Linked DNA regions of Macaca fascicularis. The protein of the gene in region 2 binds, or shares a complex with, the protein of the main gene of each other region. Links are inferred from orthologs where the notes say so. Each region holds a gene or a part of one and is shown on either strand. Other genes may lie near its edges.

The links.
Region 1: the proteins of SYT1 (region 2) and SV2A are in contact, whole or in part, in a crystal structure (PDB 4V11), measured with the Homo sapiens proteins. The link is inferred for Macaca fascicularis from reciprocal best matches to the Homo sapiens genes SYT1 and SV2A. Residues at the interface, in NP_001129277.1 of Homo sapiens: Thr291, Lys314, Lys326, Lys327, Lys328, Glu342, Ser343, Phe344, Ser345; in NP_001315603.1 of Homo sapiens: Asp82, Thr84, Glu85, Gly86, His87, Asp88.
Region 3: the proteins of SYT1 (region 2) and CPLX1 are in contact, whole or in part, in a crystal structure (PDB 5W5C), measured with the Rattus norvegicus proteins. The link is inferred for Macaca fascicularis from reciprocal best matches to the Homo sapiens genes SYT1 and CPLX1. Residues at the interface, in NP_001028852.2 of Rattus norvegicus: Glu271, Thr383, Gly384, Glu386, Thr406, Leu407, Gln408, Glu412, Met416; in NP_074055.1 of Rattus norvegicus: Val61, Met62, Gly65, Asp68, Lys69, Tyr70, Lys74.

What each region holds. Positions count from the first base shown.
Region 1 is NC_088375.1:111,362,731-111,370,945, reverse strand, and holds the start of SV2A (synaptic vesicle glycoprotein 2A), read right to left. Parts: upstream 8,091-8,215; 5' UTR 7,918-8,090; intron 7,351-7,917; exon of another isoform or gene 7,245-7,350; intron 3,673-7,244; exon of another isoform or gene 3,648-3,672; intron 3,499-3,647; 5' UTR 3,324-3,498; coding exon 2,702-3,323; intron 1,437-2,701; coding exon 1,256-1,436; intron 431-1,255; coding exon 279-430; intron 160-278; coding exon 26-159; intron 1-25. UniProt on the Homo sapiens protein: Plays a role in the control of regulated secretion in neural and endocrine cells, enhancing selectively low-frequency neurotransmission.
Region 2 is NC_088385.1:86,310,019-86,318,233, reverse strand, and holds the end of SYT1 (synaptotagmin-1), read right to left. Parts: intron 3,688-8,215; coding exon 3,481-3,687; 3' UTR 600-3,480; downstream 1-599. UniProt on the Homo sapiens protein: Calcium sensor that participates in triggering neurotransmitter release at the synapse. May have a regulatory role in the membrane interactions during trafficking of synaptic vesicles at the active zone of the synapse.
Region 3 is NC_088379.1:865,465-873,235, forward strand, and holds the end of CPLX1 (complexin-1), read right to left. Parts: intron 3,936-7,771; coding exon 3,738-3,935; 3' UTR 2,176-3,737; downstream 1-2,175. UniProt on the Homo sapiens protein: Positively regulates a late step in exocytosis of various cytoplasmic vesicles, such as synaptic vesicles and other secretory vesicles.

The DNA.
Region 1 (8,215 bases), on a different chromosome or scaffold from region 2:
ACCCCACACAGCTCAGCTCCATCACCTCTAGGAAGAAACGGGGACTTTCAGGCTGCGTGGTCAGAGCCCCAATGGCAAACACAGAAGGAAAGGCGCAGACGAGGACGAAGACCCTCCAGCTGTGGAACTGGTAGGCAGAACCCATCTGAAAACTCCACCCTGGCAGGGAGAGAGTGACAGCATCAGCAGAGAGGCCAGAGGCTAAGGGAACCCACCACAGGGAGCACAGAAGAGGGAGGAGGGAGATAACCTGGGGTGGATTCCGGGGGGCTGCTCACCATAGTGGGGGATGATGGCCCAGGCCATAGCAGCTGCGTACACACCACCAATCATCCAAAACATGCAGAGCCAGCTCAGATGCTCCCCTCTTTTCTCCTGGGCCAGAAACTCAGAGAAATAGGAGAAGACAATGGGGATGGACCCTCCAATCCTGGAGCACATTTCAAGAATTCAGCATTAGCAAATGGCCATAGTCCTGATCCCCTGCCCCACTGCTCTGGACCCTGAGCCCCTTTTGTCTTCCAGGCTTTTGAAGAGATTCCATCTCACACAAAAAGCCCTACAAGCTCCCCTGGGGGCCAGCCATCAAGCACCCATCCTTGGGACCATGGGAAACAGGCAAGCAAGTCTCAGGGAAAAGGAAAGAGCAAATCTTAAATCTTGAAAATGACTTACAGAGTTGGAAGGGAGGGAAGGTAATTGCAGAAAAGAGAATAAATCTCCAGAGAAAAAAGACAACCCAAAAGCCTCCAAGGGCAGATGTTGTGGGAACGGCCAGAAAGGAGCTTGGAGTTGAGGCAGAGTAAGCGTGCCTGCCATGCGTGCAAAAGTGAAGGGGCAGTGTGGGCAACGCATCAGGGTTCTGGCAGGTGTGGGTGTTAGCAAGGTTTGTTGTGGAATGCAGGAAATGTGTAGACTCTGGTAGGGGGTAACTCTGGGTCCACAGGAGTCCAGGGGTGGGGCTGAGGCCCAGTAGGCCTCTTCGTGGAGGCAGGCTCAAAAATGGAACTAGAAGTGGGATGGAGGACTCAGGAGTGGGCCGACATGGAACAGCACTCTGGACTGTAGTAGACAGGTCCTGGGCAGGGAGGAGCTGGCCTGAAGATGGTTGGGGGAGAAAGGAACTCATTCATCCATTCAACTCACACAGATTTAAGGTGCATTTGGTGTGCCTGGCACTGTGCTGGGCCCTAAAGATGCAACAGTGACCAAGGCACAGTACTGCCCTCAAGGGGCTTAGGAAGTGGACACTCACCCAACCCCAGAAAGGAGGCGGCAGAAGAGGAAAGTGCCGTAACCCTGGACAAAAGATGAGAAGAAGGCAAAGACGCTGTTGACTGAGAGCGAGATGAGCAGACATTGCCTCCGACCCAGCCGGTCAGCCAGACCTCCCCAGAGGAAGGCTCCCACCATCATGCCCAGGTAGACGATGAGGCCTGGAAGGAGGAGGAAAACAGAGGCAGAGGGGGCGTGAGAAGACACACCTCAGTTCTCCCAGGAGATGAGCACTGAGGGAGCTGAAGGATCTGAAGAACTTCTAGAAGCTAAGTCTACCCAGAGATTAGAGCAAGTGAGAGAAAATGAATGGTGTGAGCAAAGATAGAAGGTCATCTCTGCAGGCCAGGCGTTCAAAGGCAGGAATGAAGATACGGGAGAACCTACAACTCTCCACTGTCTTCGGTCTGTCTCATTTCTCACTGTGAGACACACACACACACACACACACACACACACACATACAGTGACACCCTTACCCCTGGCTCACTTTGAAGGAGGAATGGGTGTGCCTAGGATCCCAGACCATCCCAGGGTCCTCTCTATTCTCCCTGCTTTGATCCCTCGAAGCAGCAAGACTGCTCTCATTTGTTCCTGGGGAAAGGGGCTCCAATTCCTTTCATCTTCCCAGAAAATCCCCCACACAAAATCCATGCTTTCTTCCTCCCAGTCTCAATATTTCTAGTCCAAAAACTCTCCTGTTTTTCACTTCCTTCATAAAACCAAAGCTGGAATTAATCTTTAAAATCATCTACTCCAAACTTCATATTTTCTCATGTCCAAACCAAGCCCCAGGAAGAAGAGACCTGTCCAAGACCCCATGGCAATTTGGTGGCAGAGTAAGGCCTCGATTCTTTCTCTGTGAGTCTAGGGGGTTCCTCCTCAGAGTCCCTGTCAGGAAAGGTCATCAAACAGTACATTCTGTCCCCTGGAAATTCCCGTCTGAGTGAGAGAAAGTCTAAATAGCTTCTCTGGCAGAAGATCCAGGACCCTCCCCCTCCCCCAACCACCCCAAACTGACTCTCCCCATTTATACCAAGGAGTTTGGATACTGGCTTCTTGTTTCCCAATCAGTGAAATGGAATAAGATAACCAGAGGGAAAGCTATGAAGAAACATTAAATGGTAAGGACCATCCTACCACAGCCACCTCCTGCAGAATAAAGCAGACCACCACCCAACCACTGGCCCAAGCCCCAGTCCAACTGCCCTCCTGCAAGTCCCTGTTTCACATTCAACTTCACTCTGACCCAAGGCCAAGAAGAGGGAGTGTGTGAGGGAAGAGTGTGCAGAGGAGCCCTGAGCCCTCCAGGAACATCTTGGGTGCAGGGTCCTAGGGAACCCAGTGGTAAGGACAAGAGCAATTTCCAGGAGCAAGGAGGTTTCCAGAGTTTGAGGGGATAGGGCTGGAGCCCCCCATGTCTTACCTAGCATGCCTTTGTTGGAGTCGGACAGGCACATGTCTTTCTCAGCGCTGGGCAGCACGAAGCCCACCACAAAGACCTCCACACCATCAGCCATCAGCGCCAGACCAAGCACAAAATACAGTGTCCACTGGAAGCGGCCGTGGCCACACTCCCGTAAGATAGCTTCATACTGTTGGGCCAGTTCTTCTCGTTCTTTCCGTCGTTGTGCCTCCCCCCGGCCCCCAGGGGGACCCTCCCCATCGCTCAAGCCCCCCCTTACTCCAGCCAGGGGTGCCCCATCTGCCATCCGCTCGCCTTTGCCCCCAGACTCTGCCCGGGGGATGCCCTGATATTCCCCTTCGTAGATCTCATCATCCTCGTCATGGCCCTCAGTAGCATCACTGGACGCACCGCCTTCCTCCTCATCCTGGGTCCCTTCTCCTCGGTAATAGCTATCACTGGGGGCAGGGAAGTCGTCATCATCATCCTCCTCCTCAAAGCGGGAGTAGGATCTTCGGGAATATTCGTCCTGGACTCTGTCCAGGCCCTTCACCACCTTCTTGGCCGCATGCTTCTTGACTTCCTTAGCAATGTCTTTGGCCCCACGGATGAAAGCTGCCCGATCTCGGAAGCCCTCTTCCATGATGGGGCCCTGAGGCACTTCACCGGGTCTTCTCCACTTCCTGCTTCTTTTTCAGCTTTTTGCTCAAGGACTTGTAGAGTCAAAAAGACCCCTCCCCACAGTTACTTAGATGAAGTGTGTTCCAGTATCTTTGGGCACACAAAAAAAGAGCAAACAGGTCCTAGCCAATGAGTGCCTAGGAGAGAAAAGGAAGGAGAGGAACTTTGACCTATACCCAGTTCAGTTGGGTGGATGGCGAAGGGACAGGAGGAGCAGGGGAATGGGAAGGGGAAGGGGAGCCAGACTGGGAGGCTAAGCCAGGATAACTCAGGAAGGGTCGCCTACTTCTCTTCCACAAGCCTCTGGAGACCTGGAAAAAATAACAGACAGCAAAAGGAAGTTGTGAGTCCTAAGGTGGTGAAGAAGGCCAATATAAAGCTTCTCAACCCAGAGCCCCATCTGGACCATGTGGTGCAGAGATGGTCTTCTCGCTTTAGGCTCCCATTCACACACTAAAAAGGGATGGCTATCTGGGCTAACCGGGTCACTCGCATAGAAGTCCCCTTACTTTGACCTTGGAGGCCTGGCCTATGGAATTTGCTCCAAAGTCACAGTCACCTACTCTGAGCCCTTCTCCTAACCCCCGAGCCCAGCCCAGCCCTTGCTTTATCACCAATCTGCAAAGAACTGAACAGGAAATATGAGAAACCAGAATTCCCTTCTTTAGTCTTGCCTGGGTTTCTTACTGGGGATGGAGTTGAGAAGGATGTGTAAGAGGACAAGCCCTCCAACCTGTGGCCTTCCCTCCACTGATGGCATCTGAAGGCAGGGGCTTCCACTGTCCTTCCTTCAGGTCCCATGTTTACAGGCTTCAACAAGGAGGGATTTTCTCTCAACATAGTCTAATGGGTAAAAGCTCAGCTTCCAGAGTCACAAAGACATGGGTTTGACTTCCTGTTTTGGCAATTGCTAGCTAAGGGACCAAGCCTCAGTTTCTTCTTATTTTAAAAGGGGAAAGTAAGGGTTGAATGATATATCTGTGCTCCTTAACGTAAGTCAGCTAGCACTTAAAAATGATGAATAAATATTAACTATTATTTTTGTGGTGACAGTAATATAGTGAAATGCCCTATACTACCTCATAAGGTCCCCAAACGAAAGCCGTCTTGGATGCTCTTTAGGGTGAGCAGCAGGAAGGGACGCTGGCAAGGAGAATGCTGGTTCAGGGCAAAGCACATGACCATTAGGGGTGACCTAAGTTGAAATCCCAACTCTGCCGCTTACTAACTGATCTCGGTCAGGCTAGTTAACCTCCCTAAGCCTCAGAGTCCATATACTTTAATTGGGGATAATTACATTGGGAGACTGTTTCTTGGAGTTGATGTGAGAATGTAATCTCACAGTACATGCTCTATGTTAGTTTTCTTCCTTCCTATGATGTTGAAAAGTGGGAAAGAAGCAAGAAGCAGCAAGGGACAACAGCGGGGTCATACTTAGATGCTGTTGCCCAGCATCCTTGCAAACAGAGTCCCAAGACCCCCTGTCTGTGTTTCAACTAATTCCAGCAGCTGGGCCCACATTAACTACCTCCGGAAAAACAAGGGGAGACCCAGAAAAGGGGGACCTGGAACCCAAGTAAAGTGGAGGAAAGATGGAAAGCTAAGAAAGAGGTGATGACTGTCCACTGCCACCTTGCTTCAGAATGTCATAGATGGGTCCCCTTTCCACGGATGGGGGTGAGAATGGAAATGACTGTCAAATGCATTTCCAACATGAGGTTCTAAGGCCTACAGTTGCGTCCCATCCCTCCAGGGCCTCCCTTCCTAATCCCCCTTAATCCTTTCCACTCCTCCTCCAGGAGTCAAGGAAGAAGGAGTCCACAAACACCGCATTGCGTAGGAGGTGGATGTAGAATAAAGGGGGTTTGGGTGTTCCCCAAAAAAAGACGTTCTCCAGAGGAAGGCATGGGATAGCCCCCCTTCCTTCATAGGAGGAGAGGAAGCAGGCCTAGATTCTGATCAGAAATCATTCCCCCAAAAATTTCCGGTGCTCCCACCCATCCAGAGCCTTCATTAAATGTCTCTCTCACACACACACACACACACACACACACACACCCTGGTAGAAGAGGGTAAGCAATGCTATGTGGTTCAGAGAGAAGCACTGGCAAGCAGGGCCTTACCCCTCAGGACAGATGTAAGCAGTGGACCACGGTGACCAGAAGCAGTGACCCCTGTCACCTTTTCTTCATTGTTCAGGGCCCAACCATCCCCCATGAAAGCGCTGGAACTGTGGAATCCCCTCAGCGCATGGCAATTTGCTAGCTTTCCTCTCTTTCCTAACCAGGATCTCCCCTCCAGCCCTGAAGGAGGCAGGACCCACCAGGAGCCATACTCTCTGTTTGTTGACCCTATTTCCCCCTGGGAGGGGCATGTAGGGCAGAGAAGCCTTCCACAACCGCAGCAGGATATGAGGGCTCAGCAGTCAGCTCCCTCAGGGCCAGCAAGCCCAGGAGGTCAGGAGAGAGAGAAAGAAGACAAATTCTTTGAGCTGGTGAGGAAGTGGTGCTATTTTTAGCCCCAAAAACAGCACAGGGTGGCTAAGCCTGGGGGAGAGAGACAAGACTTGGAGAAGTGGAGGTTAAAGGAGACAAGGTTCAGGGTTACAAGGTCCTAGGCTGGCTGACTTCACCTGACAGGAAAAAATGTGCCCAGGAGATTTTCTGCAGAGGGTGGAGACAGGCGGGGGACTCCAGAGCAAATGCTTCCTTTCAGAACAGCTCATCCAGCCCTGGATCAGAGGAGGGTCCAGAACCCCCCACCCTCCTCCCAGTCAAAGTCCCTGACTTTGGGGGCCACCCAGATCCCCAGGCCTTCCTAGCTCAGGTGACAAGGTCATTAAAAAGCAATCACTTATCAAAACGTCCGCGGGGGCAGGGTAGAATGTGGGAGGTGCGGGAGCACCCCTTCCCCATGACAGCGGGGTCATTGAACCTCAGCCCCCACCCAGGACCATCAAGGCTGTGCCTCCCCTCCCCACATCCTACCCAGGGTTAGGAAGATGGGAGCACCCACAGTTCTGAGGGATAAAAATGAGGGTGTCAGCTGAGAATGCACACTGAGGAATACGGAGAGGCAGAGAGGGGGACGCAGGGAGAGACCTCCGCACGCACAGACTTAGAGACCGCCCCTATCAGCATTTGCAGGGACCCCCCCACACCCCATCTTGCCTCAGCTCCGGAATAAGGGAAAAGCCCCCAAAACTGACTAAATCCCTGCTCTGAGCACCTCCTCCACCCTTGGTCCTGCTGCTAGACAAGTGCCCACCTTCACTCAACACCCCTTCCCCCAACCCTGGAGCAACTGCCGCCAGCCCCCGCCATCCATGCCCCCAACACCTGGCCGCTCTCCATTTCTGTCTCCCCAGTATGTCCATTCTTCACTCCCCTTCCCTCCATCCTTCACCTGCCCTTCTTCCCCTGCCCCCCCCCCACCCCACCCACCCGAGTCCAGGCGCGCACACTGAGGCAGCATCCATTCTCCAGCCCCAGCCAAGGTCATTTATCATTCATCCTGGGGGTGGGGGGACGTCAAGGTGAGGAGGGGATAGGAGTTTGAGGGAACTCCACGCACCTCACAACCCCACCACCCCGTTAATCTCCGAAGGGGATAGTGGGGACTTGGTTAAGGTAGAGAAAAACACCCCTCCTCCCCATTCACCAATATTAAACATATGCGTGTGTGTGTGTGTCCTGAAGAGCACAACTGAAATAAATGTACATCCCCAAACCACCACCAACCAACCAACCCCCCTCACCCCTAGAGAGGGGATCGTCACCCTCCCTATAAGCAAAGCATCGGAGGATAAAATGGCTGCAAGGCAAGGCAAAGATGCTTCTGCCAGAGGCGGGGTGGAGGTGAGCGACTGAGAGAGGGGTCTCACCTGGACTGGGTTTCCCGGGTAAGGAGTCCCAGGCGACGACGGGGGTCCCGGCCGCGGGCGGAGGCGGCAGCGGCGACTGCTCCGGGTACCAGGGAAGCGGCAATGCAGACCTGCACCCCCCCCACTCCAGCCCCGCCTCCGCCGCCCCCCCCCACCCCCACCCCGCGCCACTGAGCATCGGGAGAGACCATTGGTGGGGTGGGGGAGAGAAAAAAGGATGGGGAGGGAGTCAGGGCACGGGGAGAAATCATGAAAGGGCCGGGGGTTGTCACAAGAACAGCTGGAAATGGCACACAGCCCTTCCCAGGCCCTTCCTAGTAAAAGATAAAAGGGACTAAAGAAAAAAACAGTGATGTTAGGAAGACTAGTGGGAAGATAGGGAGATGGGGAATGTGGCAGCCCCTTCCTTAGCACCCCAGTCTCAGTATGGCAGGACTCAATAATTTCAGGGGCTTTTGCTGCCTTCAAAACACCTCCCTTGCCTTCTCCACTGCTCTCAAACTCCTTTTTCACAACAGTCTCCCAAATCCAGAGTGCTCCTACTCCAAGTTTACCTGGACATTTTAGAGAAAGCAGAGATAACAAGGTGTGGTTTCTATCCTGAACTGCCAAAGTCAGAGACCCCTGGATTCCTTCCATCTCTTTCCCCGAAAAAACAGTCCAGGTTACTTACTTACAGTGCAGACCTCCTCATCCTGTCCATTCAGTTGGTGGTAGCAGAAGTATTGGGGAAGCTCAGGGATTTTTACAGACCTGACCAACTGGACAGATCCCCTTCCATTAATTTGCTCCAATGACTCAAAAAGGATCCCTCTCAATACCCTTCTCCATTTTCTCTTACTCTCCTCAACCTCCCTCCCCTCCACACACTTGTCCTTCCCAGGCAGGAAGAAGTAAATTGGTTTCAGCTTTTCCTTTCATCTTTCCTTTGCTCCTGCACCGGTAATCTGGATTCAGAGATCCAAGACATG
Region 2 (8,215 bases):
AAAAAAAAAAAAAAAAAAATCCTCAGGGACCCAACACCCTTACTTTTAAGTGCAAATACAGTGCATTGGGATGGTGTATTTACATCAGCCTGAGACTGTGGGCTCCAGCATCCAGTACAGTAGGCACTTGATAAATGTTAAATTTAGTGGAGGAAAAATGTTTACTTCTTTCCCCTAGCAATTGCAGTAGGCATAGAATCTAGTGTATTATGCTGTCCTCTGAAACTGGGGTTAAAATAGTCTTGTTTTCAGTCCCATTCTGGAGAAGCTATGTGACTTGGGTTCTGGAGTGAAAACCCCGAAGGACACATGTTGGGCAAAGTGAAGAGCCTCAGAGTTTGCCAGATGAACTGATGACAAACAAGCATAGAGAAACACATGTTGAGAATGACACTGCCCAGGAACACCACGCGGTCATGGCCAAATGCTCCCGGGTGTTGTCGTCCCTCCAGCCATTCTGTATTTAGATGTGACTCAGACGCTGGCATTCAGTGCAGTTTTCTTTAGCTGTTGCTGCTTCCAGGAGTCCCCCAAAGTCAACAGGCCACTGGCTTACCACCAGAGTCAGGCAAGGAAAAGAGTGGGAAGGCAGCAACATCAACAGGAAATAAAACATTTTTATTGAATATCTGTGTAATATGTTAAGTCATTTTTAACAACAATCAGAAAACTACTGTGGAATTCACTACACAAAGTGAAACAAAATTTAAATCACCTCGTCAAAAATGAAGGTAAAATACAGCTGAAGTAGTTGGCTCGCAGGCCACGAGCCATATGGCAGAAGAAAACACCCCAACATTTCTACAAGATACAGGGAAAACCCACACATAGAAACACTCAAGCAGGCAGTAAATATACACAAAGGCAACTAGGATCTTTCTAGAGCATCGGATTCTAATACTTTACACAGCTTTGTCAGAAGGGTACATGTGGCTTATTTGAGGATGAATCTTGGTCATAAAGCAGGTTCCATCACTGACTTGTGAAAGATGGCATAGTACCAACTAATTCTATGGTGACAATCCCATTTCTGGCAGTGTTGCAAGAGAATGCATTAGTAGTACTTTAATGCAAGAAATAATGTATATTCAGCAGCTTGAACCTGCTTGTTTTAAAGTGTGGTTTCATTGTGTACAACTTAAAGCTGAATACAGTGAAATTAAATGTTTTTTGTGGTATTTAAATATTTTTTAAAAGCCAGTCAACTCCCTCTCTTTGGTAGGGTTTGGCCCTTTAAATTGGAAAGAGTCTTGTTTGAATTTTCTGTTCAAACCGTTATTTAATTTCACATTCTGACTTGTGTGTATTTTCTATTGCCTATGTGTTTAAAGAAGTATGGACCATCAGCAGACGGTGATGTTATTTTCCTTTTATACTTTATGTCTGTGCCAATTGTAAAGCGTTTGCTGTGTCTGGCCTAAAAGGCAAAAGTGCCCCTTCTTTGATAAGGAAACAGTAACGACAGGAATTCCAGTTTTATTGGGAAACAGCCAACCCCATGTTCAAAGCCTACCATCAGCCCTTTTTGAATTCTCTTTAGTTTTTGAAAAGACATGGTGTGATATCATGAAGACTGAACATGAGGCCAATGCTTAGTTTTCCTCCATTTTGTTTTGGTATTTGTGAAGACAAACTTTCATTTCACAGCATCGTTACTGTCTGTGGCCTGGGAATTAAAATGGGTCACAGAAGTGAATGGGAGAAAAGGCTAGATGCAGCGTGAGATAATAGGCTGCCCTTCCACTAAGTGGTTGTCTACCATAGTGGGGAAAAATATGGAATATTGCACAGTGCTTGACAAAATGCTGTGTTCCACCCCATTCTATGTATCTTCCTTGTCCTATGCATAGCTTTTCAGTTCTGGATTGGTCCTTTGTAATGAGAACTGTTTGTGCTACACACACCTTGGGCAGTGCAGTAGAAGGGAATGGCAGTATTGTTACAATATCACTACGGAATAAATTGAGTGCTATCCACTGAGGAAACTACGGGTCTAAGCACACACGGCAGTCACAGTGTTACACAGAGCAGTCCTTTAAGACTCTTATGGAATGACTAGTAGCTTCATAATAGTGCCATTTACTACATAATAACATTGAAAACGTTTAAAAACTCCTCCTAAATCAAGCATCTAGTATACCTAAGAGGTTGCTTCAGTTTTCTAGAACTTGTTCTTGGTTTGTTTCACCTTTTTTTAAAGGACAAATTAAAACTTATTTAAGTAAAAAGAGCATATAAAAAGATCACTAGCTGTCTGTTTTGGCTTAATTGAAGTGCATTCAGAACTATGGCTAATTGTTGTTGGTTTTTTTTTTTTTTTTTTCATCTTTTGATGGGATTACAATACTGTCTGTTTACCACAAAGTAATTTTGTGTAATAAGCACAGATTGCTGTGTTAAAAATATCCTGCATTCCTTCTAATCTGGTTTTATATAATAAAATATTTTGTTACAAACTCTAATGTGCAAACCTTTTGGAATTACGATAGGTGTGAAATCTGGAACAGAATTCACAGGATGCACATTTTGTATAAAGGTGATAACGGAGAGCTACTTTTTTCTTTTTAAATAGTCAGGCAATAGTTCATAAATGTTAACTTATCCCCTTAGCTTCTTCTCCCCCAACCCCAAACAAATGTGTGCACACCACACACACACACACACACACACACACACACACACACACGGAACACCTTGTTGTTATTCTACAAGGAGTAATATGAAATCATTGACTCCTGTTCAGTTGCTTCCTCAAATGTAAGAGTGAAGCCATTATTTTAGCTTTGTAAATATGTACAGACAGATGCTATTCTGGTTTGTGGCTATGCTTCCTTGAGGTCAGCCTGGATGCTGCTGCTCAGATCATGCTATTTTGCCTGTGAAGGAATTCTACAAAATTGGATTCACCCACCAAGTATGTGGTGTAAGTTTATCTTGGTTCTCAAATGATTGAATAGAAAGCTCAGGTTTAAGTTGTCCTTTAAGATGTCAGTTTAACTCTACTAGTGCCTTACGAGTTGATATTTTTGCTGGAATGCAGACGATACTATATTACCATATAATATATTATCAGCTCTCCTATATCTCAGTCAATTTACATAGTTTAAAATAGAACATCTTATTAAAAACATCTAGATATACACAGATTAGGAAACACAACATACAAATACACAAACTAGAAATAAATCTTTAGCATACTGGTATATACAACAGTGTGATACAATAAATAATTTCAGTCATGCTCTATCTACACATCATATTGCTTAAAAGAAGAGTAGATTTGGAGGGCAGTGGTATGATGAAGGACTTAGGGGCTCTCTACATTTAAATCTGTGCAAATTAAAACAGGATTCGAAGTACCACTGAATTGTGTTAAGAATGCATGGCTGGAAAAATGAAAGGACCCATATTACTGAGGTATTTACAGATACTGGCTAAAGAGCACTATATGGGCAAATGCAGAAAGGCTTCTTCTTTCCTTTACTTCTTGACGGCCAGCATGGCATCGACTTCCTCCTCTACCTGCAGGGTGTGCCACTGGGCAATAGGTCGCCTGGGGTTGGCCAGCATATCTGACCAGTGTCGCAGCTCCGCGCCGGTGCTGTTGTAGCCCACAAAGACTTTGCCGATGGCATCGTTCTTGCCAATCTTGTCATAGTCCAAAACAGTTACCACCACCTGCACTTTCTGAAAGAAGACATGAAACGAATATGAATCATCTAGCTCTAGAGACAAGGCCCGACTATAAAGCTTCCTTGAGCACTAAAGAATTGGAAATAAAAGAATCAGTCTCCAAGCACTAGGATGAGGATGAAAATGACTTGAATGTAGAAACTTGAGTCCAAATTTCCTTTTTCCATTACTATATCATAATTGTCACCATCATCATCTTACTACTCAAACGTTAATTTTTGTTATATATGTTGCACTGTCTTTTACATGAATGAACTCAGTTACTTCTCATAATAGATCCTATTAATATTGCCGTTATACGGATAAGGATGCCTGAAGCTCTGAGAAGTTAGATAACCTGTCTGAGGTTGTTTAAGGAAGGAGTTGTTTGGTTTTCAGAGCCTATGCTGTAAACCTCCGTGCCATGGGGTCTGTGTCAACTTGTGCTAACCTCTAAATTCATTTGCTTCAATTGTCTCATCAGTGAAAGTTCTAGCATTGGTGTTCAGGCCACTCTATTTGATTACAATTCCCAAAGCAACCATGTGCAATAATCCAATTTCAAGGGGGGGACAGCATGTTACAAAAAAATTAATGTAGAATTTCAACTAATCGTATGACTGTGAGCATAAAACATGACATTATAGTGAAAGTCTTTAAAAACTACTAATAAAGATTTTTTTTCTCATCCATATATTCTCTTAGTAAACATTTACTGAGTAACTACTATGTATCTGGCATTGATAGCAAATGTAAATATCATTTTAGGCTACATAGGATTTACTTCAATGATTCCATCAGATTTTGAAAGTTTATTTGATAACTTCCTTTTCTGAATGATTAAACTGATGAAAGCAAACCTGTACTATTATGGTATAAAAGATATACTTTTTAAAAGCACATTTCATTTCTACTTTCTGAGTAATTAATTTACTTAGCAGAATATGTGATGGTTTCAATCTAACAGCTGAGTGTAAGGATAAGAGTTTAAAATAAATGGAATATATAACATTTATTGCCAGAGTTAAAAGTAGCAGAAAATATAATTATAAAAGCTAGGGCCAGATGAAGAGCCAGCTGAGTTAGAGCCCTTTAGTGGACTTTATATGCTGAAGACTGATTTATTATATTAATGAAATGAGAAATGTCATTGATACACAGCTTCAGAACAGAGAAAGCACTCACTTCTGAAAGTGGAATTTAGAATGTAAAATGCAACACATTGGCAATAAAAGAGACAAACTTCCCTGGGAGTGATTCCATTGTTAAAGGAATTAACTATCCACTGGGTAGTTTCTGGAAGCAAGAAGAGGGCTATATTGATTCTTAGAACTTGTCCTAAGCAAACTTATCAGGAAGCAATCATATTGTAATGAATGGGGCGGGGCACATGATACACAAAGGCAACAGAAGTTTTTAGAGTTTGATTATTCCACTTAGGAACGCATTGATTAGTAGCATTCAAGACAAAATATCCTTGTGAAGCCTTTGGATTAATGTTTCCAGCTGCATATGTAGTTTATTTCTACATTTGGGGGAGGAAGTCTGACATTTTCACATGCATTTAGAAATTCGCGTATTTTGCTTCTTTCATAATACATTTCATAGGGATAGAGAAAGACAGAAGAACAGGCAGATTGTCTTATAACCTCAGGATAAGGGAAACTTAAACCCCTATTTTAGCATGTGAAATACTCAATTATTTTTTTCTAGGAAAAGGTAAAGACTAGAAAAGTTGCCACCTATAAAAAAAGGAAAAAAAAGGAACAAACTGACTCAAGGAGTACAGAAAGAGGGATACAGCCAAAGGAATGCTCATTGTTTCCATGTCTAATGTACTCTGTATTGGGCTTAGTTTCTGTCTGTCCTGACAAAATGTTATTGCCTCTGAAATGCTGCCCCAGAAATCTAACCTATGTGTTATTTCTCATGTGCTTCACTTTCGATATATTTGCATTTTCTGCAGTTTGTAGTTGAAAAGGATATTTATTTTAAAGGCATAGAATTGTAGCTCAATGGGAGTTTTCATCTCAGTGCCTTGCTTTATACTATTTAGTGAAATTAAAAAAATTAAATGCCAGGAGGTGTTAGTTTCCATAGGAATAAGGTCTTAGAACTTTGAGTTCACTGAAGAAATATTGCAAATAAACTGTTGGAAGAAATTGATGTTTTGAGGGTTTGTGAGTGAGTCCAAAGCAAGGGGCCCACTGGTTCAGGCTAGCGAACAAGTTATTGGGAAGAGGGAACCGGTGTTCTCTGCATTTACTTATATAACAGATGTTGAAAATAAATAAGTATGTATAATTTTGACACCATGGGAAAATTTATATGATAAATGTTATATTTAAAGCTATTAACCAATATGAAGATGGTAGAGTTATTGGTTATTTTTGGTAATTTAAGACGCCCTATACTACACAGTAGCTACCAGCCACATCTAGCTGTATCCATTTAAATTTAAATACATGGAAGTTAAATAACTTTCCTTGGTCAAATTAGTGACTGAGGTACTCATTTGCCACCTGTGGCTACCATATTATTGGACAGCATGGATGACAGAATATTTCAATCGTCATAAAATTCTATTAGACAGCACTGATTTGTATACTGATTTAATCTTATGGTTAGATCCATTTTCTAATAAAATGCTAACTTGAAAAAGAAAGGACATTAGCATGTGAATAATAATGATGATGATGATAGGACCGTTTACTGTGTGTTCCTATGTATTGGGCGCTGTTCCAAGTGCTTTTATTGCATAATCTCACTTTGACAAGGACTCTTATCATTCCTACTTTATAGATAAAGAAACTCTAAGCCTTAGTTTTTTTACATATAAAATTGGGATAATAACAATAGTACTTTTCTCACAAAGTTCTTCTAAGGATGAAATAAGATTACATACATAAAGTGGTTAACTTGGACCTAGGCATTTTTTTTAATATATATATATGTCTTTGGATTAATGTTTCTATGAAGAAAGCTAATATAATAGCTATACTTATTTTATATATGTATATATTATATAGCTATACTTATATATATAAAATACATATTTTATATATATATAAAATAAGGTAGCTATATTAGTTTTCTTCATGGAATAAAGCTGTGATTCATTCATAAGATACTGTCTTCTAAGAATAGATTAAAGGTAAATGAAGACACAACTGGGCCTATTAAGGGTGGTATGGCACTATTCACAATAGCCAACATATGGAATTAACCTAGGTGTCCAACAACAGATGAATGGATAAATAAAATGTGGTACTTATACACAATGGACTATGATTCGGCCATAAAAAAGAATGAATCCTGTCATTTGTGGCAGTGGATGAAACTGGCAGACACTATGTTAAGTGAAATAAGCCAGGAACATAAAGTTAAACACTGTATGTTCTTACTCATGTGGAAGCTAAAGAAAAGTTGATATCATAGAATTAAAAGGTAGAACAAAGGATACTAAAGACTGGGAACAGGAAGATAGGGAGAGATTTGTTTAAGGATACAAAATCACAGCTACATAGGAGGAATGAGTTCTAGTGTTCTGTACCACTATAGGATGGCTATAGTTAACAATAACATATGATATAATTTCAAATAGCTACAAGTAGGATATTGAATGTTCCCAAACCAAATGATAAATGTTTGAGATGATAAATATGCTAACTACTCTGATTTGATTACAATACATTATATATATGAAAACATTACTATGTGCCCCATGAATATGTACAACTACTATTTGGCAATTAAAATAAATAAAATAAAATACTAAAGAATATTTGTTATTGCGGACCTTTAGAAGGTTCTTCGTTGTAGGTTTGATGTCTGCTCTTTGTTTCTCCTTCAAGTTATGGGCAAACTTTTACATCACTGAAAATATACACCTGTGCCAATTATTGAATAAAATGTAATAACAGTGTTGTTTCATGCAGTTTGACTCTATGATGCCCATTAAAGATTTGCGAGAAATGGCCCAAAATTATTGGATATGAACTTTAGATTCTTTTTTTTTTTTTTTTTTTTGAGACGGAGTCTCGCTCTGTCGCCCGGGCTGGAGTGCAGTGGCGCGATATCGGCTCACGGCTCACTGCAAGCTCCGCCTCCCGGGTTCACGCCATTCTCCTGCCTCAGCCTCCCGAGTAGCTGGGACTACAGGCGCCCGCCACCACGCCCAGCTAGTTTTTTGTATTTTTTAGTAGAGACGGGGTTTCACCGGGTTAGCCAGGATGGTCTCGATCTCCTGACCTCATGATCCGCCCGTCTCGGCCTCACAAAGTGCTGGGATTACAGGCTTGAGCCACCGCGCCCTGCGGAACTTTAGATTCTTATAGGCTAACTATGGAGATGGGGTGAGAAAATGTAAATATTTTTAAAAACCCCTAAATGATAAGGTTGCATGTTATCATTGTGGCTACAGGTAGCAACTTAATTTGAACATGTTAACTACAAGGACATTTAATAGAATATTTCCCATCATAATTATTGTCTGGCAAATTAAGTCTCCATTTTTACTAAAATGGCCATCCATTCCAACTCA
Region 3 (7,771 bases), on a different chromosome or scaffold from region 2:
GTTGCTGCTCAGGCTTGCAAGGGGGTCCAGACCAGGTTATGGGTGGGAAATGGGAGGCTGGGGGAGGATGGAGGCCGAGCAGTGGCTGGATGTTGAGGTGGCCTTCTAAGAGCAGCCCTGCTGGGGAGCAGCCACAGGCACAGGGGTGGGTGCAAAGACACTGAGTTTCAGTTCCAGGGAGGAAGAGGGGCCAGCTGCTGCCTACTCGGCAGGGGAGAGTTCACCCTGGGCAATTTGGTGGTGCCTGGGGTCCACACTTCCCCAGAGGCAGCAGGAGGAAGAGCAGGATACACCCCTCCATGGGCTTGGAGGAGAGCACATTCCCTCCCAGATCCCACCTGGCATCCAGGAGGGCCCGGCCTGGGGGCAGGGCACATGGGGTCCTCCTGCCCTGGGACTGGGCAGCTCCCTGGGGCATTCCCAGCCAGAAGCGTCAGGAAGATTACAGGAGACCCAGACATGCTGCTCCCTAGAGAGGGCTCCTGACAAAGATTTTTTGTGTGGTCAAACTTTAATTAACTTCCTGAATCTTCTGGTAGGCCCATTGGCCCACTTCCTTGTAAAATTCTGTTTTAGCAAAGAATCTGGCTAGGTCAGTTTAGCAACAAACCCTCATCCTGGAGATTTAATTGGGGTCCTCATCCTCCACCGCCTGACGGGTCTGTCTGATTGCCCTGCCTGTCTCCAGCTAGAATCCAGTTAGATGGGGTTAGTCAGAATCCCCCAACCCTTGATGTTCCTCAGTCATCTTCTGTCCACTGAGCCCACTCTGCTCCTTGGCAACACACCCATTGCAAGCCCTATTGCATGGTCCCTGTACCTATGGCGCTGGTCCTGAGCAAAGCCTTCCTCACCAAGCTTTAACAAATGTCATGGAATCATCTTCGCTTTTTTTTTTTTTTTTGAGATGGAGTCTCGCTCTGTCGCCGAGGCTGGAGTGCAGTGGTGCAATCTCAGCTTACTGCAACCTCCGACTCCCAGGTTCAAGCGATTCTCCTGCCTCAGCCTCCCAAGTAGCTGGGACTACAGTTGCATGCCACCATGCCCGGCTATTTTTTTCTTTTGTATTTTTAGTAGAGACGGGGTTTCACCATGTTAGCCAGGATGGTCTCCATCTCCTGACCTCGTGATCTGCCCACCTTGGCCTCCCAAAGTGCTGGGATTACACGCATGAGCCACCGTGCCTGTCCTGAGCCACCGCACCTGGCCAGAGTCACCGCACCTGGCCGGAATCATCTTTTTTTTTTTTTTTTTTTTTTTTTTTTGAGACCGAGTCTGGCTCTGTTGCCCAGGCTGGAGTGCAGTGGCCGGATCTCAGCTCACTGCAAGCTCCGCCTCCCGGGTTTACGCCATTCTCCTGCCTCAGCCTCCAGAGTAGCTGGGATCACAGGCGCCCGCCACCTCGCCCGGCTAGTTTTTTGTATTTTGTAGTAGAGACGGGGTTTCACCGTGTTAGCCAGGATGGTCTCGATCTCCTGACCTTGTGATCCGCCCGTCTCGGCCTCCCAAAGTGCTGGGATTACAGGCTTGAGCCACCGCGCCCGGCTGGAATCATCTTTTAACAGCTTCCAAACATGGAGGTCAAACAAGGACGTTCTGGGGAAGCAAGTGGTGGGCAGCAGCTAGGGGTGGGCTGAGCATCCAGCGGATTGAGTGTGGGCGGGACCCCCAGCAACCAGGCAGAGGGGCTGTTCTCTGGGCTGGGGTGAGGAACCTCCTCTGGCCTTAACCCAAGTTGGCAGACATTTCCCTTCAGGGATCCCAGTCTGGGACTCAGGAGGAGGGACAGTCCCACGGGGATGCTTGTCGGGGCAGGAATTCCTGGTTGGGCAGAGGCAAGGGCAGCACAGGGTGACCTGGGGCCCCGGGCCGGTGGAACTGAGGAGAGGCACAGGCCCGTGGTCGGGATCTAGGTGGGAGGGAGAGCAGAGGGCAGAGGCTTTGAGGTTCCGTGGAAGACCCAACCTGGGGTCAGGTCCCTGAAGGCGCAGGTCTGCGGTTTAGATGGAGGTTGCTGTGGCTGGACGGCCTGGGGAAAATGAGTCTGAGTGGACGGAGCAGGGTGAGAATGGTGGGATGCCCTGCAGCTGCCCGTGGAAAGAACATGGACTGGGGAAGGCCCGGTCCTCCCACCGGCTGGCGGAATGGACCACTGGAAGGAATGGCCACACGGTATGAAATCACTGGTGTTTATTGGCTGTGATTCCATCCGGAGAGAACACACGCAGGGGCCCCGACATGCAGGAGGAGGCGCAGGCGCAGGACAAACGGACAGAGGACACCACGGTCTAAGCTAAGCTCGCGGCCCCGGGCGCCATGCGCTGGGAACGGGGTGCGCAGGTTCTAAGAGAGGACGCCCTGTCTGCTCAGAGCTGGCTTTGAAAGGTGTGAAAACAGGAGTTTTTTTAAGACACGACCCGGGAGAAGTCAGCGAGAGGGCACAGGGCGAGCAGGACGGACAGCGGCGTCCCCGTGGGCCGCGTCGCTGGGGCGCAGAGGGGCGCGGTGGTCTCTGCCGGGAGGGGCGTAGGTCGTTAGTATTGCAGTCTAACGTTATGGCTTCTCTAAAGCTATGTAAGGTCATGAAGGTCAATGCCAAGCCAACCCTGGCCCGAAACACGTGTGGACTTGATGCATTTGTGATGTGGACGGAAAGGGCCTGGGGGGCGAGGCGACGCCTGTCAAGGTAAAACTCATTAAATGCAAAGACCTCATTTACCTGAGATTCAACAAATTGTGATGCAAATTAAACATGAATGGAGGAGAAACAGGGACTCGGAGGCCGCCCCGCAGGGCCACCAGGTGGATTCGGCCACACTCGCGCCCGCTGCGCGCAGGGAACCCCGCAGGCCCCACCCGAGGAGCTGCCCACGGAGGAGGTGCTGGGCAGGGTCGCAGGGTCTCCAGCGTCCGGAGACCCCCTGGGTGCCTCGGGCCTCTGCGGCTCCTGTGGAGGGTGCAGAGTTCAATGGGCGAGGGCAGGGGTCCTCCCCAGGGAGAAGCAGCAGCCGCGTCGGCGGAGAGGCCAGGAGGCTGGGTGGGGGGCGAGGGGCGAGGACTCGGGAAGAGCGGGGTGACGGGGGTGGGGGGCTTAGCGTCCCCCAAACCTATTGCTTTGTTTCCTTTAGTTTAGTAGTGAACACGGCCGTGGCGTTCGTAAGAAGCAAAACCTTCCAGAGAGGAGAGGAAAGGATGGGGACAGAGACTGACGGACAGGGGCGCGAGGGGGGCAGCCTGGGGGGCGGAGAGCGGCCACGTGCGGGCGCGAACACTCACCGCGGCGCGATCCGAACCCCGGAATCCGCGCGCGGGAGGGGGGCCCAGGCCCCGCCGCCCCCGCCCCGCCCGCACCCCCCCATCTGCTATGGCTGTGCTCCTGAGTGCGGGCCCGACAGGCGCCCACCGCCGCTAATGAGTGCACAGGGGTGGTCGCGGGGCTGCCCTTCCGGCGGCCCTGGCCTCGGGCGCTGCTGGGTGGGCGGTAAACGGCAAGAGGAAGGGGCGTCCCAGGCGATGGGGCTCCAGCCACCGGCGGGCAGAGGAGCACCGGGCGGACTGGGGGGTCCTGGGGGCGCACGCCCCTCGGGTAAGAGAGGGGGCAGGCGCAGGCAGGGCGGGCCTGGGGCTATGGCTTATATCGGCGTAGGGGCTGCACTCTGCTCGTCCCTTGGGGGCCTCCGCGGAGGGTCTGCAGGGGGGAGGGGCGGGGCTCCGCGGGGCCGCTGTCCCGCGCGGGGCTACTTCTTGAGCATGTCCTGCAGCGGCCCGGGCAGGTACTTGATGACGGTGTCCAGGATGCTCTCGTCCTCCTCCTCGACCTCGTCCCCACAACCCGGCGGGATGGCCTTCTTGGGCCGCGTCAGGCTCCCCTCGGAGTTGGCCTCCATGGCGGCCTGCGCCTCGGCCTCGCGCTCCTCCTTCTTCTTGATGCCGTACTGCGAGGGAGGTGGGGGTCAGGGCGGGGGTCCCGGCGGCTCCTAGGCAGGCTGCAGCCTCCCTGGGCCAGGGACTGGCCCAGGAACCCCAGGAGGCGTGTGCGCGGCCCCCTGGCCCACGAGACAAACGAGGACCCCAGAGGGAGAAGAGACCCCTCGCCGGGGGGTGCCTGGAGGAGTGGGAAGCCCCCACGGAGAATGGGGGCCAGCAGCTGAGAAGGGGGAGCAGGGGATGGGGAAGCTCCCATCTTCCTTGAGAGGAGAGGGGGCTGTGGCCCCACCTCTGGCTCCAAACCCAGCCCAGCCCCTGGCATTCTGCCTTCCAGGAAGCCTCCAGCTTGGGGCAGGGAGGGGTGGGCAGGATGCTGTGTGGCAGAGGTGGGGAGAAACAGTCACCCTGCAGCTGACCCTCCTGCCCAGTGCCTGGTCCACGACCTGCAGTCACTCCTGGGCCTGGCCAAGGCTGCCTGCATGCGGCCACAGCCCCAGCAGGGCCACTCCCTGGCAGGCCACTTCAGCTCCATGGGCAGCTGGCAGAGGGGCCTGGGCGGCGGTTACTTCCAGGCACTGGGTGTCCTGGAATCCTGCCTAGTTGTGACCTCAGCTGGCACACCTGGGCCTCACCGAGCCCCTGCCCACCCCCGTTTCTCATCTCCTGTGTGTGTGTCTGCCCTCTGTAGCGGCTGAATACTGTCCCCCTCAAACTCATGTTGCCTGGAGCTTCAAATGTGATCTCGTTTGGAAATAGGTCTTTGTCAATGTGATTATGGTAAGGATGGGGACGAGGCCATCCTGGATTTGAGGGGCCTCAAGTCCAGTGAGAGTGTCCTTGTAAGAGACAGAAAGGACAGACACCCGGACGGGGGCGGGCATATGAAAGCGGAGGAAGTCGCAAGTGGTGAGGCCACAAGCCAAGAAACACCAGGGGTTGCAGGGCAGCCAGACGCAGGAAGGGGCAGGGAAAGGCCCTCCCCCAGAGCCTCCAGAGGGGGCATGGGATTTTGGCCTTCTGCCCTCCAGGCCTCTAAGTTTCTGATGCCAGGCAGCAGGGTTTTGGTTCTTAGATCAATACACCTCCCCACCCCACATTCCTCCAGCCCTCCTGTGAGCCGCCAGCCCAGGAAGCCTGTGGTCATGGTGAGGCCATGGAACTACGGAACAGCCTCTTGCTGCCCAGGAAGGTGGGAACCAGTGGGGTTGGGCTGGCCTGGAAGGATTGGGGGCCTGGTGTCGTACAGGAGCCGGTTGTCCATGCCCTGGGCAGGACCCCCGAGCCGGGTCCAAGGCCCTGGGTCTGAGATTAAGGATGCTCTAGAGCAGTGAAGGCGTCAGCAGCTGTGTCCAGGAGAAAACTTAGAAAGGGAGTGGGCACCAGCACTTTACAGGACCGAGGAGCACACCACGGGATCGACAGCCGCAGGGAGGAGCCTTTCTGCCCAGGAGGAGCCCCTCCCTTGCCATCTCCTGCTCCTGTCTCAGCAGCCCCTTCCCATAGAAGCGGTTGGTTCTGCTCCTGGTGCTGGGCACCCCCTGGCTCTCCAAGGAGGCCCCTCCCTCCTCCCAAATGGAGGCTGCCTGTGTGCCCCCCAACCCCACTGAGGGCAGTCTCGGCACCTCTCCCCTTCCCTGGTGCTGCAGGTGGCTCTGGGTGTGGGGGGCCAGGGCCACCTTCAGTGAGATGGAAAGGAGGGTGCCATGCTCCCAGCGGCCTGCGGCCAGAGCACCACCTGGCCACTGCGGAGAGAGAGGGGCTGTGGGCTCGCCCTGGTCCTTAGCAGCCCCTGCACACTCTTGACAGAGCTGGGACTCCAGGGATCTCCTCAGTGAGGCGAAGAGTGCAGGGTAGGAACGTCCTCCACAAGGACAGGGGCATCACCCAGAGGGCCCTGCAGGCCCAGAACAAAGCCCTGACCCCGCGGGGCAGCAAGAGCAGACTGGTTCTGGTCCTAGCCATCCACAGCAGGAGGGACAGCAGCTCCAGGTATGGAAGTAGAGGGGGCATGTGCTCCTCATCCTGTGGGGCCAGGGGTGTGCTGGGGAGAGCAATGCCACTGGAAGCTAGGTCTGGCCAGAGAGAGCCTCCTTCCAGCCAGGGGTATGGGGGTCTGTGCATGCGGCGGCCACACGTGTGCCCAGCCCAGGAGGCTGTGCTGCCCATGGCAAAGGCACTCAGGAACACGGGTGTGCTCAGAGGAGCAGGCATGTAACAGCGGGAACATAAGTTGTGTGAGCAAAGGAACCTCCTGGGTCAGGGGAGTGACCCTTGGGGCTTGGGGGACCCTGTCTGCAAAAGGTGTGGGGTCCTTCCCTCTGGGCCCAGGAAGGAGACTCCAGGCCCTGCCACCAGGCTGTGGGACACTCAGAGCTTCACTTGAAGTGCCAGTTGCTGCACTGAGGCTCCAGGTCATTCTGAGGCTGAGGTCATGCTGGACTCGGCCTGAGGGCCAGGGTCACTCCGCCGGGAACACGGGCTCTGGGGCTGGGCTGCACGCCGGAGCCTGAGACCCGGTTCTGAGGCGTCTGCTCCAGAAACAAACGCCCAGGCACACCCAGCCCTAGGCCCGCCGTGATGCTGGTCAGCTGCTCTCCAGGAAGTAACACCTGAGGATGGGAGTGGCTGCTGGGGGAGCCTAGGAGGCCCTGACACATCTGAGGTGAGACCCTGAACCCTGAAAACACTGTGTTCCTGAGAAGAAAAGGGCAGTGGGTGCTAATCAATACTGAGAACCAACAATAGGAACGATAGGACCAAACACCCAGCATTCGGCAACCAGGAGGACACCTGCTAGGCGCCGTGTGGGCTGTTGGGGGTGGGGGGGATGCAGTGTACTGGGGCAGCCTAGTGGGCCCTCAGAAGGCCCATGCAGGAAGGCCCAGGCGTGAGCTGCCCGACATGGGTGGCTGGAAGCTTATGTAAGCCAAGGGCAGGTCAGTCAGTGCGCCGAGCACAGAGGGGCCAGTCTCGCTCTCGATCCCTGGGCCTGGGCCTGTCCAGATGGCTGCCTGACTGGAGGTGCAGGTGCGGTGCTCCTCTGGGAACTGCCTGAGGGGCTGGATACTCCGAAAGGATCCAGTCCCCATCCGCAAAGAGGCCTTGGACAGGGCAGCTCAGCACCTCTTCTCTAACCAACCCCCAAGATGCCTGGGGGTGCCACGGCCCAGGGGAGGCTGGAGGCAGCAGGTGTTCTGATCAGGTGGCCACACCTGAGGGCGGGGTTCCCCTACCCCCAAAGGCTCCGTGGAGGAGGGCTCTGTGGAGAAGGTGTGGACGTGGAGTCTGGGGGGGATCCAGTGTGGTGGGGCCTCCAGAGCAGAGAGGCTGGTGCTTCCAAGGCCTGAGGGGCCAGTGGACTGTGGAGGGGGCTGTTCTTGTGGGCAGGTCTGTGGCCTCTATCCCTGCCACCTGTGTTCTCTGAGGGGCTTAGACCAAGACAGAAGCGCAGGTTAGTGCCTGGCAGCAAGGTCAGGCCAGCTCCCCATAGGCCTGACCAGAGAGCTCTGCACCCCAGCTGCCAGCTGTGGGCCCCACACGGAAACTGAGGAGGTGCTTACGCTTCCCCCTCTCCTGGGCCTCACTCTCCCTGGTGTCTCCCAGTCTCTGGAGGGTGCAGCTGCTGCATCCTGTCCGGGCCACTCAGCCACTGACACTGCTGGCCCTGTCCCCACTGCCCTTGGGGCCTGGACATGGTCCCCTGAGCCTGCCCTGTCCTGCCTCTGGGGACCCTGAGGAATGACACGGCCCGGAGCAGCCGGTGTCCCTCTAAGATCATGCCAGCAGAGGCCGGAGCCGGGGGGACCTGACCCACTCTGGAGACACCTGCCCCAGACACAGCTCT